2 linked regions of the Mus musculus genome follow. The protein of the gene in region 2 purifies or fractionates together with the protein of the main gene of each other region. This does not show direct contact. Links are inferred from orthologs where the notes say so. Each region holds a gene or a part of one and is shown on either strand. Other genes may lie near its edges.

The links. The genes of interacting proteins can lie anywhere in the genome.
Region 1: the proteins of Birc2 (region 2) and Tank purify together in Homo sapiens (affinity purification with mass spectrometry; 4 studies listed by BioGRID and IntAct, with this or other methods). This does not show direct contact. The link is inferred for Mus musculus from reciprocal best matches to the Homo sapiens genes BIRC2 and TANK.

What each region holds. Positions count from the first base shown.
Region 1 is NC_000068.7:61,591,597-61,596,471, reverse strand, and holds the start of Tank (TRAF family member-associated NF-kappa-B activator), read right to left. Parts: upstream 3,376-4,875; 5' UTR 3,264-3,375; intron 2,476-3,263; exon of another isoform or gene 2,271-2,475; intron 1-2,270.
Region 2 is NC_000075.6:7,819,443-7,824,092, reverse strand, and holds part of Birc2 (baculoviral IAP repeat-containing protein 2), read left to right. Parts: intron 1-2,873; coding exon 2,874-3,119; intron 3,120-4,531; coding exon 4,532-4,650. UniProt on the Homo sapiens protein: Multi-functional protein which regulates not only caspases and apoptosis, but also modulates inflammatory signaling and immunity, mitogenic kinase signaling, and cell proliferation, as well as cell invasion and metastasis.

The sequences.
Region 1 (4,875 bases), on a different chromosome or scaffold from region 2:
TTTTTTAAAAAACATACTTATATTAAGGTCAGTGGAAAATAAAAATGGTCTGCTAATAGGAAACCTCTATTCGTATGATTATAGTTAATTATCTTTTTTCCTCTAACATTTTAAAGATACAAATATTACTGGGTGATTTTAACTCATTTATGTTCAGTTATGTCAAGTGAAGTTTGTGTTTTTATCTTCTTAGTCACTATTCTATCGCTGTGAAGAGACATCATGACCAAGGAAACTTAGAAAAGGAAACATTTAATTGGGGCTTGCTTACAGTTTCGGAGGTTAGTTCATGACCATCATGGCATTTGGAGACAGTACCTGAGAACTTTAAGTCATCATTCTCAGCAAGGTAGAGAAATAGTGTGGAGAGAGAATAGGCCTTTTGAAACCTCAAAGCCCATCCTCGCTGACACACCTCTTCCAACACAGCCACACATCAGAATTGTTCCTAGACAGTTCACCAAGCTGGTGACTAAAGGCTATTCTCATTCAAACCACATTCCCTTTAGAATGTATACTGCCATTTTTCCTCTGCCTGCTGTGCTAATCTTCAATAATTTAAGGAAAAGAGGAAGCTATCCGAATAGGTAAAAAAAAAAAAACCTTTCAAAATCAAGATTATGAACTATATGTAGAGAGGGAAAACAAAGGACTACATTTTGGGTGGATCGCTAATGCAGTCCAAAAACAAAAACAAAAACAAAAACTGAGGAGTGTTAGAATAGGCAAGGGTACCTGGTTCTAAGCAACTGAAAATGTGCATTTCAGGCCTTTGTAATATGTGTCACATTTTTCAACCCCTAATCTTGAAAAAGATTAAAAACAAACAAACAAACAAAAAAACCAAGACACACCCCTAAAACCTGTGACAGAATACACATTACACATAGCATAAAATTAGCCGCTGTAAACTTTCCTTTCTTTCTTCTTCTTTTTTTAGAGAACCAGGTCTCGCTTATATAGACCTGACTAGCTTATAGACCAGCCTGGCCTTGAATTCAACAGAGATCCTGCCTCTGCCTCCTAGCACTGGGATTAAAGGCATGTGCCACCATGCCTGGCTTTTCTTTTTAGACAGGGTCTCACATGGCCCAATCTTTCGACTTCAAAAAAAATAAAAAAAGAATTTTCAGTCAGTTGGAAAAGAACTGAAAGAACTAATTTCTTTTCTCTCTTTCTTTCCTTTTCTTTTTTGGCGTGTAGTGTGTGTGTGTGTGTGTGTGTGTGTGTGTGTGTGTGTGTAAAAGAGTCACAGGGCAACATTGAGGGGTTAGTTTCTCTCCTTCTACCTTGCTGGTCCTCGGGATGGATCCCTGATGTCAGGCTTAGTGGCAGACACCTTTACTTGCTAAGTCAACTTACTCACCTAACCCACTTGTACTTTTGTTTCTGATGCTATGATGAACACTATGACCAAAAGCAACTTGAGAATGAAGGGGTTCACTCCATCTTACAACTCATAGTTCAAAACCCATCACTGGGGGAAGTTGGAGCAGAAACTCAAGCAAGAAGCTGGAGCAAAAAACCACAGAAGGTTGATGCCTACTTCCCAGTTTTCTTCTCCCAGCTTGCTCATTCTTTCTTATAAAGTCTAGGCCCACCTGCCCAGGGATCATAGTACTCAGAGCTGGCTGGATCCTCCCATATCAACCAGCAATAAAAGAATACCTCACAGACAAGTTCACAGGCCATTCTGATAGAGACGATACCTCAAATGAAAATTCCTCTTCCTGGTATGTTTGTTTTTATTACGTTGAAAAAAAAAACCTATGATACCTAATTCATAATTATGTTTCTACAGTGTACAAGAATAACTTCAGATGTTTAAAATGAGTCAAGTATTAAAATGAAATAGCACAGGAAATTATCTCAATAATTTGCAAGAGGACAATAATCTTGGATACAAAACCTAGGCAAAGCCACATGACTAATAGTTCTTTACAGTATGTGGCACATAGCATGAAGGGTTACTATATCTGTATCTTCCTCCTGAGTTCTGGGATTAAAAGCATGAGCCACCATGCCTGGCAACAACTGTACCTTTAAGAAAGGAAAAGAAAGAAAGAAAGAAAGAAAGAAAGAAAGAAAGAAAGAAAGAAAGAAGAAAGGAAGGAAGGAAGAAAAAAAAAACGACATAAAAATCCAAACTTGGGAAAAGTGACCAACGCCAAGAGAAGAGGGTGTACAGAGTAAGCAATGATCTCATTTCCATAGGGGAGCAAAACAACGTGAGTAGGCGCCTTTAAGAGATGTGGAAGGCTTTGTCTTACATGATTGAAAACGCTTTAGCGGGGTGGTTTCATTTTCTCCTTTATCATTTGAGGGGTTCACGGCCCCTCTCAAAGGGGACAATATGGCTTTTCGCAAGAAGGTGGTGCTTGTCTTTCTGTTACTGGGCAAACGGCGGGGTGTTACTCCACCTCTCTTCACTTTCTAGCTTATCGTTTCTTCTTCATGTTAACTTCTCAAAAGTTTCTGCGAGAGAAAAAGACACCCAAGAAGGCTGCTTTGTACAGCCAGCCTAATAGTGAGAGAGCCTAAGTCCTCTGGGGGTACAGCGAGCATCTTCCCCCTTGATCGGATTTCAGGACAAGCATTGCTCTTTTTCTTCTCGTTTGTTTGCTTGCTTGCTTGTTTTTGGTGTATAACTCGTTGCCACTCAGTTTACACGACGGTGGAGACTCTACCTAATGACTGGGTGACCAGGGAAGGAGGATGGCTACTTCTGCTCTTTGAGCCTTGGCCACCCATTCTCTCCGGGACTCCTAGGGGGAAGTTACCCAACTTCTCATTGACAAGACTATGATGACACTCCACAGGAAAGCAGAGAAGGGAATTGTGCAACTCCCGGGATAGACACAAAGAGTCTATTAAGTGTTCGAGGGCATAACCGCCGGGGCGACCGGCTTCTGCGAAGTCGAGGACTCCGGGATCCCCGGCGCCCCAACACCGCAGGCCGTGCCGCGCTCGTTTCCAGCCCCGGGAAGCAGCGAGGAGAGCGGCAGTCACCCTGCCGCGACGGGTGGGGGACTGTCGTCGCGGAGCTGAGGTCACGGGCCGGGAAAGCCCCACAGGGTCAGCTCGGGGACAGGGACCCGCGCTTTCTCTCGCTCAAAATCGCGCTGTAAACTCGCTGGGGCCGCAGCTCTACTTCTCGGAGGAGACTTCGGTGCAGCGCAGCGCATCCCACACCCGCTCACACACCCCAGCCCTGCGTCCCCGGGCTCGGCCGACCCAGACTCCCTGTCTCCGCTTTTACTCACAGTGGAGGGTTCCGGCTGTGCTCGCTCACGCCACAGGTCGCCGGTGCCCGGCAGAATGACTGCAACCGGAAGTAGCTTTCCGTTCCAGTTCAGAGGGCAGCGACTGCGCTCTGAGTCATTAACGCTTCACCTTCCATCCTCAGGGCCAGCCCCGCCCCACGTCCCGCCTCTGCAGGAAAGCCCCGCCCACAAAGCCCCGCCCCGCCAAGCTCCTTGGAGGCCCGGGGCCATACAGGAAATAGCATCTGACAGTAAGAGAACCCTAAACATAAGTCATTTGTTTAAAGGTCACTTCAGTGTCTTAGCTAGAATTTTGAGCAAACAGTAAATAACTACTTCTAATATTACCTTATATGTAGGTTAGAGAACCACTCAGAAAAACTTGATATATTGTGAAATTCCTGTTTAGAGCAGGTAGGGGAAGGCCCAGGAAATTACAGTTTTCACCAGATCCTTATGCGAATATAATTGAGTTAAAGTCCACAACTTGAGAAATATTACATATACACTCGGTGTTTCCTCCCACTAGTAATACTTTCCAATGGATATACTTGCTAAAAAAAATTCAATTTCTAGTAAATTTCTCGGGGATTAAAAGTTTCTCATTATTTTATCCAGACATGCTTGAATGATAGCTGAGAGAGAAATTTCAGATGGACGCAGTGAGAAAAACATCTTTTCCGTGTTAGAACAAGAGAGTTGGGTTCTGGCTGCCCCATTTTCTCTTTAGTTCAAAGATTCAAACACTTGTCTGGTTCTAACCGTTAGCTTGAATATTTGGGGCAAATTTTAAAATTCAAACCATCGTTTAAAACTATTAAAAAACTTTCATCAGCTGCGGTTGCTCACAGAAAACCTAAGCAAGATCCAACCAATCAACCTGCTACCACAGTGGTGGGTGGGGTTCACAAGCCCATATGTCAAACCAGTATCTGTGAGGAGCTAAGGGCAGTGGGTGGACTTGAGGGGAGGAGGCCAGTTTTATTTAGGGTGTGTCTCATGCTTCAGTAGATGATACTATGTCTGAATTTATACAGGCAGCACAAACTGGACTTTGTGGTCACTTGGGGTGGGAGGTGGAGGTCATAAGGTTGGGAGAGGGGATGGATCTAGGAGGAGTTGAGGGGGATATGGTCAGAACATTGTGGGGCTGGAAAGATGGCTCAGAGGTTAAACACATGATTGCTCTTCCAGAAGACCCCCGTTTAATTCCCAGCACACACATGGCAGTTCACAACTGTCTGTAACTCTGGTTCCAGGGGATCCTATACCCTCACCCAGACATATATGCATTATAATATATTTCTAAAGGAAAAATAGAACAAACACATTATATGATTCTTTAAAAAATATTATAAAATATTACTCAAAATTTTAACAAGCAGAACTTCCCACCTATAACATTTAGATCAAGTAAACACTTTTTCCCACTAAGTCATCAAGTTAATTGTGACACAGCACTGCTCATATTAAAATAAAACAAAATGACTTGTTTTCTCTAGAGCAGGGTTAGATGCAAAGTAAATTGAGAGAAAGGTCTAGAAACTTCCAGCATGTTCCTCATCTTCATCCTCAGTGCTGAGGTGGAAAAAACTGCTAGCAAGAACAATGT
Region 2 (4,650 bases):
TTCTTTTTTCATTCATTTTTCATACAGGGTCTTATAATATGCCCCCGGCTGGCTTTGAACTTTGGATCCTCTGGCCTAAGGCTCTGAGCACCGTATTACAGGTATTACAGGCCACCTCACCTGGCCTTGTCCACTGGATTATGTCACCTCCTGCTAATCTGGAAATGTTGCTTTGATAATGACAAGAGTCACTGGAAACTGCTGGAGTGAATCCTTCTGGGCACATCCTCAGCTGGCCCTGAGCTTGGGATGCTCCTGCTCCTCTGCCACAGGGCAGGGCTGATGGAAGCACGCTGCCGCACACTGAGCTTTTGTCCTCTACACACCAGCTTTGGGGACTTCCCTGACGCCACTCTTTTAGGTGTTTTTCCAGTTTGTTAGGATGATTTTGAACCGTTTCTGCTGCTAGTTCCTTTTTCATATTCCTACGTGGTAGACTACTAAACGAGTGTACTTTATTATGCTCAGGTCAGATGCAGTCCAGGCTGGAATGTTCAATTACCTGTGTAAATCTTAGAGGTGCTTCCAGTTTGGGCTACAATAGCTGTCTCAGCAAATATGTCAAAGCACTAGGTTTCCTCTGATTTCATTCTTCAGATGTTTTTCTCTGACCTTCCCCATCTCAGTTCATAACACCCAGTTACAGAACCAACTGGGCTATCTCCTGAGAAATGCTCTGCCTTCACAGCATGTCCTGATACTGTCTCTTAGTCCATGCTACCCTGGTCTATCTTGTAGACCAGTTGTTCCTGATCCCAAATCCATCTGTGCAGCATCACCAGTTACCTTTGGAATAGCTCTCTGCTTAAGTTCCTCCTACAATATTCTGGCAAACTTAGGGTGATGTGGACACTCCTCACAAAGCTGTATATACCATGACTACTGTCCCTGCCGTCTGCCACCATCTTTATTTCTTGACTGTGTTAAGCTCTTGTGCTGGTGAAGGCTAGTCTTGCTGTTCTCTTTCACATGTTCCTGTTGCTTACTTTATCGTTTCAGTTTTAGGGTTTTATTTATTTTTAAATGTTACTTTCTGGATGAGGTGTTGAGGATTAACATATTTTTGACCACATTTGCTCTCTACACACTTTTGTGTGTTGATTGTATGAGTTTCCAGTGGATGGCAGTAAAGTATCTTGGAAAAGTACAGCTGTAATGTCACAGAAGCACAGTATGAGCTTGCACTGACCCTGTTAGCAGAGAATGCTTCCATCCGTGTCCCTATGGCCTCCCATTTCCTGCATTTGTCACCTCGTATTTTCATCTTTAAAACCTCCATTCAGAATAACAGTAGTTTTGCTTATTTGTGTTTTTATTACATCTTTATGCTGCCCATCCTTGTTTTCTCTGCCTCACTTATATACCTGTTTAGACGTTATTCATCATTCAAGTCTGATACATATCCATTGGTATAACTCCAACCCAGGTGCTTCATGTGTGCTAGGCCCCACACCCACACCTCATCTTTTTATAGGGGTGGGGAAGAGATGTATGCATGCTTGCTAGAGTGGAAGACAAGCCCTCCACCTAGGCCACACCCCCATTTTTAATTCAGTGTATTCTAAGCATTCTGCCAAGGTTGTACCCCCATCTTAACCTTCTTCCCTACTGTTTGCTGGTTTTTGAAGTGGTAGCTTATTTAGATCTTGCTTATGAGTGTCAGGGAAGCTTTGTCTTTGCTGTCACATGTCCAGTTCCTACTGAGCTTTATATTTGCCCTCCTTTCCTGCTGGAAGGTAATTTCTCATAGCTGTATTTTTGTGGTACATTGATTTTAAAAAATGAATGTATATTAAACTCTTTTGGGGAGATACTTTAAAATTTTTTCATGTGTGTGTGTTTGTGTGTGTGTGTGTGTGTGTGTGTCTGTGTGTGTATGTACATGAGAGAGAGACACACACACAGATATAAAGACATGGAGACACAATTATTTTAGGAGTCAGTCCTTTCCTGTGGGTTTCAGGAATTAAATTTGGGTGGACTTGTGCAGCAAACACTTAGCCATGAGCCATCTTGCCTACCTGATTTTTGAGGAAAAACTATAGTGTATGTGTGGGTGCACACGCTACAATGTGTGGATAGAGGTTAAGAGTGCACCCTTGGGCACTGGAGAGATGCTCAGCAGTTGTTTCTTTTTTCTTTTTTTGGTTTTTCAAGACAGGGTTTCTCTGTGTAGCCCTGGTTATCCTGGAACTCACTTTGTAGACCAGGCTGGCCTCGAACTCAGAAATCTGCCTGCCTCTGCCTCCCGAGTGCTGGGATTAAAGGCGTGCGCCACCACGCCCGGCTAGATGCTTAGCAGTTTTGAGTACTGGGTGCTCTTCCAGTGGGCCTAGGCTCAATGCCCAACACCTACAGCAGCTCACAGCTGCCTGTGGCTCCAGTTCTAGGGCAGCTGACACCTTCACACAGACAAATGCAACCAAAACCCAGTGCCATAAAAGCAAATAAACTATTTTCTTAAAAAAAGAGGGCAACTTTACGAATTAGTTCTCCCCCCCCTCCCCCACCCCCCATGGATTCTGTGAATTGAACTTAGGCTGTCAGGCTTGGCAGTAAGTACCTTTACCACTGAGCCATCCCAACAATACTGTTGGAGTTTTTTTGTTGTTGTTTTGTTTTTTAACAATCAGACTCCTAAGCAAATTGCCAAGAGATTTTTATTTTAAGTTTATATCTAGGATGTATATACTGTAGGTAGGTAGTAATTTTTAGATACATAGTACACTATCCAAAGTTCAAATTGTATTGAAGTTAATTTAATTGATGCACATGATATGTCTCCCTTACCAGGATATGAAAAATAAAGGTGCCACAGGCATTACTTTCCATAGTTTAAATTTGTGGAGTTTAATATTAGCAAATTTTTTTAGAGACAGTGGTGCATTTTGGCCCTGGAGAAAGTTCGGAAGATGTCGTCATGATGAGCACGCCTGTGGTTAAAGCAGCCTTGGAAATGGGCTTCAGTAGGAGCCTGGTGAGACAGACGGTTCAGCGGCAGATCCTGGCCACTGGTGAGAACTACAGGACCGTCAATGATATTGTCTCAGTACTTTTGAATGCTGAAGATGAGAGAAGAGAAGAGGAGAAGGAAAGACAGACTGAAGAGATGGCATCAGGTATCCACGTTGGTGGCCACAGGTTTTCAATTACGTGTTGCATGCAGCATCATTAACACCCTCTGCCCCTGGGCATTTCTAAACTATCTCTTTTTGCCAAGCTCAGGCTAACCTCAAATTCAGTCTGTAGCTAGTGCTGTACTAGAACTCCCCTGAGGTTCCTGCCCCCACCTCCAAAGTGCTGGGGTTATACATATATGCCACCATACACAGATTTACAATAAACTATTTTTGAGGTATATTTCATTTCTTTATACATAGCTAAAACTGAAAAAAAGCATGACTTAAGGGACTGGAGGTCATCTCAGTGGTTAAGAGCTTTGGCTGCTCTTGTAAAGGACCTGAGTTTGGTTCCTATTGCCTAAGTAGAGTCCAGTGTCTCACAACCACCTATTACTCTAGTTCCTGAGGATCTGACCCCCTCTGAAGACCCCACCAAGGGGGGAAAATATTAAAAAAGAGATAGGACTAGTTCACTACAGCCTTATTATATGACCGTATCACAAAACGTTTAAAATTCTAACTTCTGGATTGAAACAGACTTATGTTTCAATTCTGCCCTCTGAAGTGAGGTAATTTCTTATGAATAAGCTGGATTCATTTTTAAAAACTATAAATTTAGATTTAAAAAAGGATAAAGCAGGCTATGTGCTATGTGTGAGGTATTGTACAACATGGTTTATGTGCATTTTGTTTAACTCTTTGAGGAAGATGCTATTATTCATACTTCAGATCAGGAAACTGAGGTGTACATAGCAGGGGGACACATGGCTATTAAGTGGCTAGACTTGCCTGGGAGCCAGGCAGAGTCCATCGTGACATGAAGCTTACACTCTTGAGTGCTGTAGTTCTGTAGAATGCATGGAGTCTGAGAAGGAATATTGCTCTAGGCTGAAGATGTAGCTTGATTGATGGGTCTTTGGTTGGCATTCACAAACCTTGAGTTCCATCATTAGCCCTATGTAAACTGGGCATAGTGGTTTATGTCTGTAATCCCAGCACTTGCAATGGAGGTAGAGTCAGGATCAGGACTATCCCTGTGGATACGTGCAGAACCTGAATACATGAGGTCCTGTCTCAATAAATAACAAACAAAAAAACTCAACTAGTTTAGGATTCTGGGGAAAGAGAGAAAAAGAGGACACACGTTTTACTACTCTAAAGTTTTCTGCTTGTTCTCAACAATTTGAAGGCAAGTGTCTGAGTCTGTCATTGTGTAGACTTGAGAATGTTTGTATTTGCTGTGCGATACATCTGAGTTTAATCTGGAAGATTAACCTGACAGCATTGATGTGCAATCAAGTCATTTCAAAGAAGCCCTTCAAGCTCAGCTTAAGCTAATTTGTGTGTAGGGTTGGTTGGGGACATTTGAAATTTAATGGAACTTTTTTCTTGCTCGTTTTTAAATGAAGGTGACTTATCACTGATTCGGAAGAATAGAATGGCCCTCTTTCAACAGTTGACACATGTCCTTCCTATCCTGGATAATCTTCTTGAGGCCAGTGTAATTACAAAACAGGAACATGATATT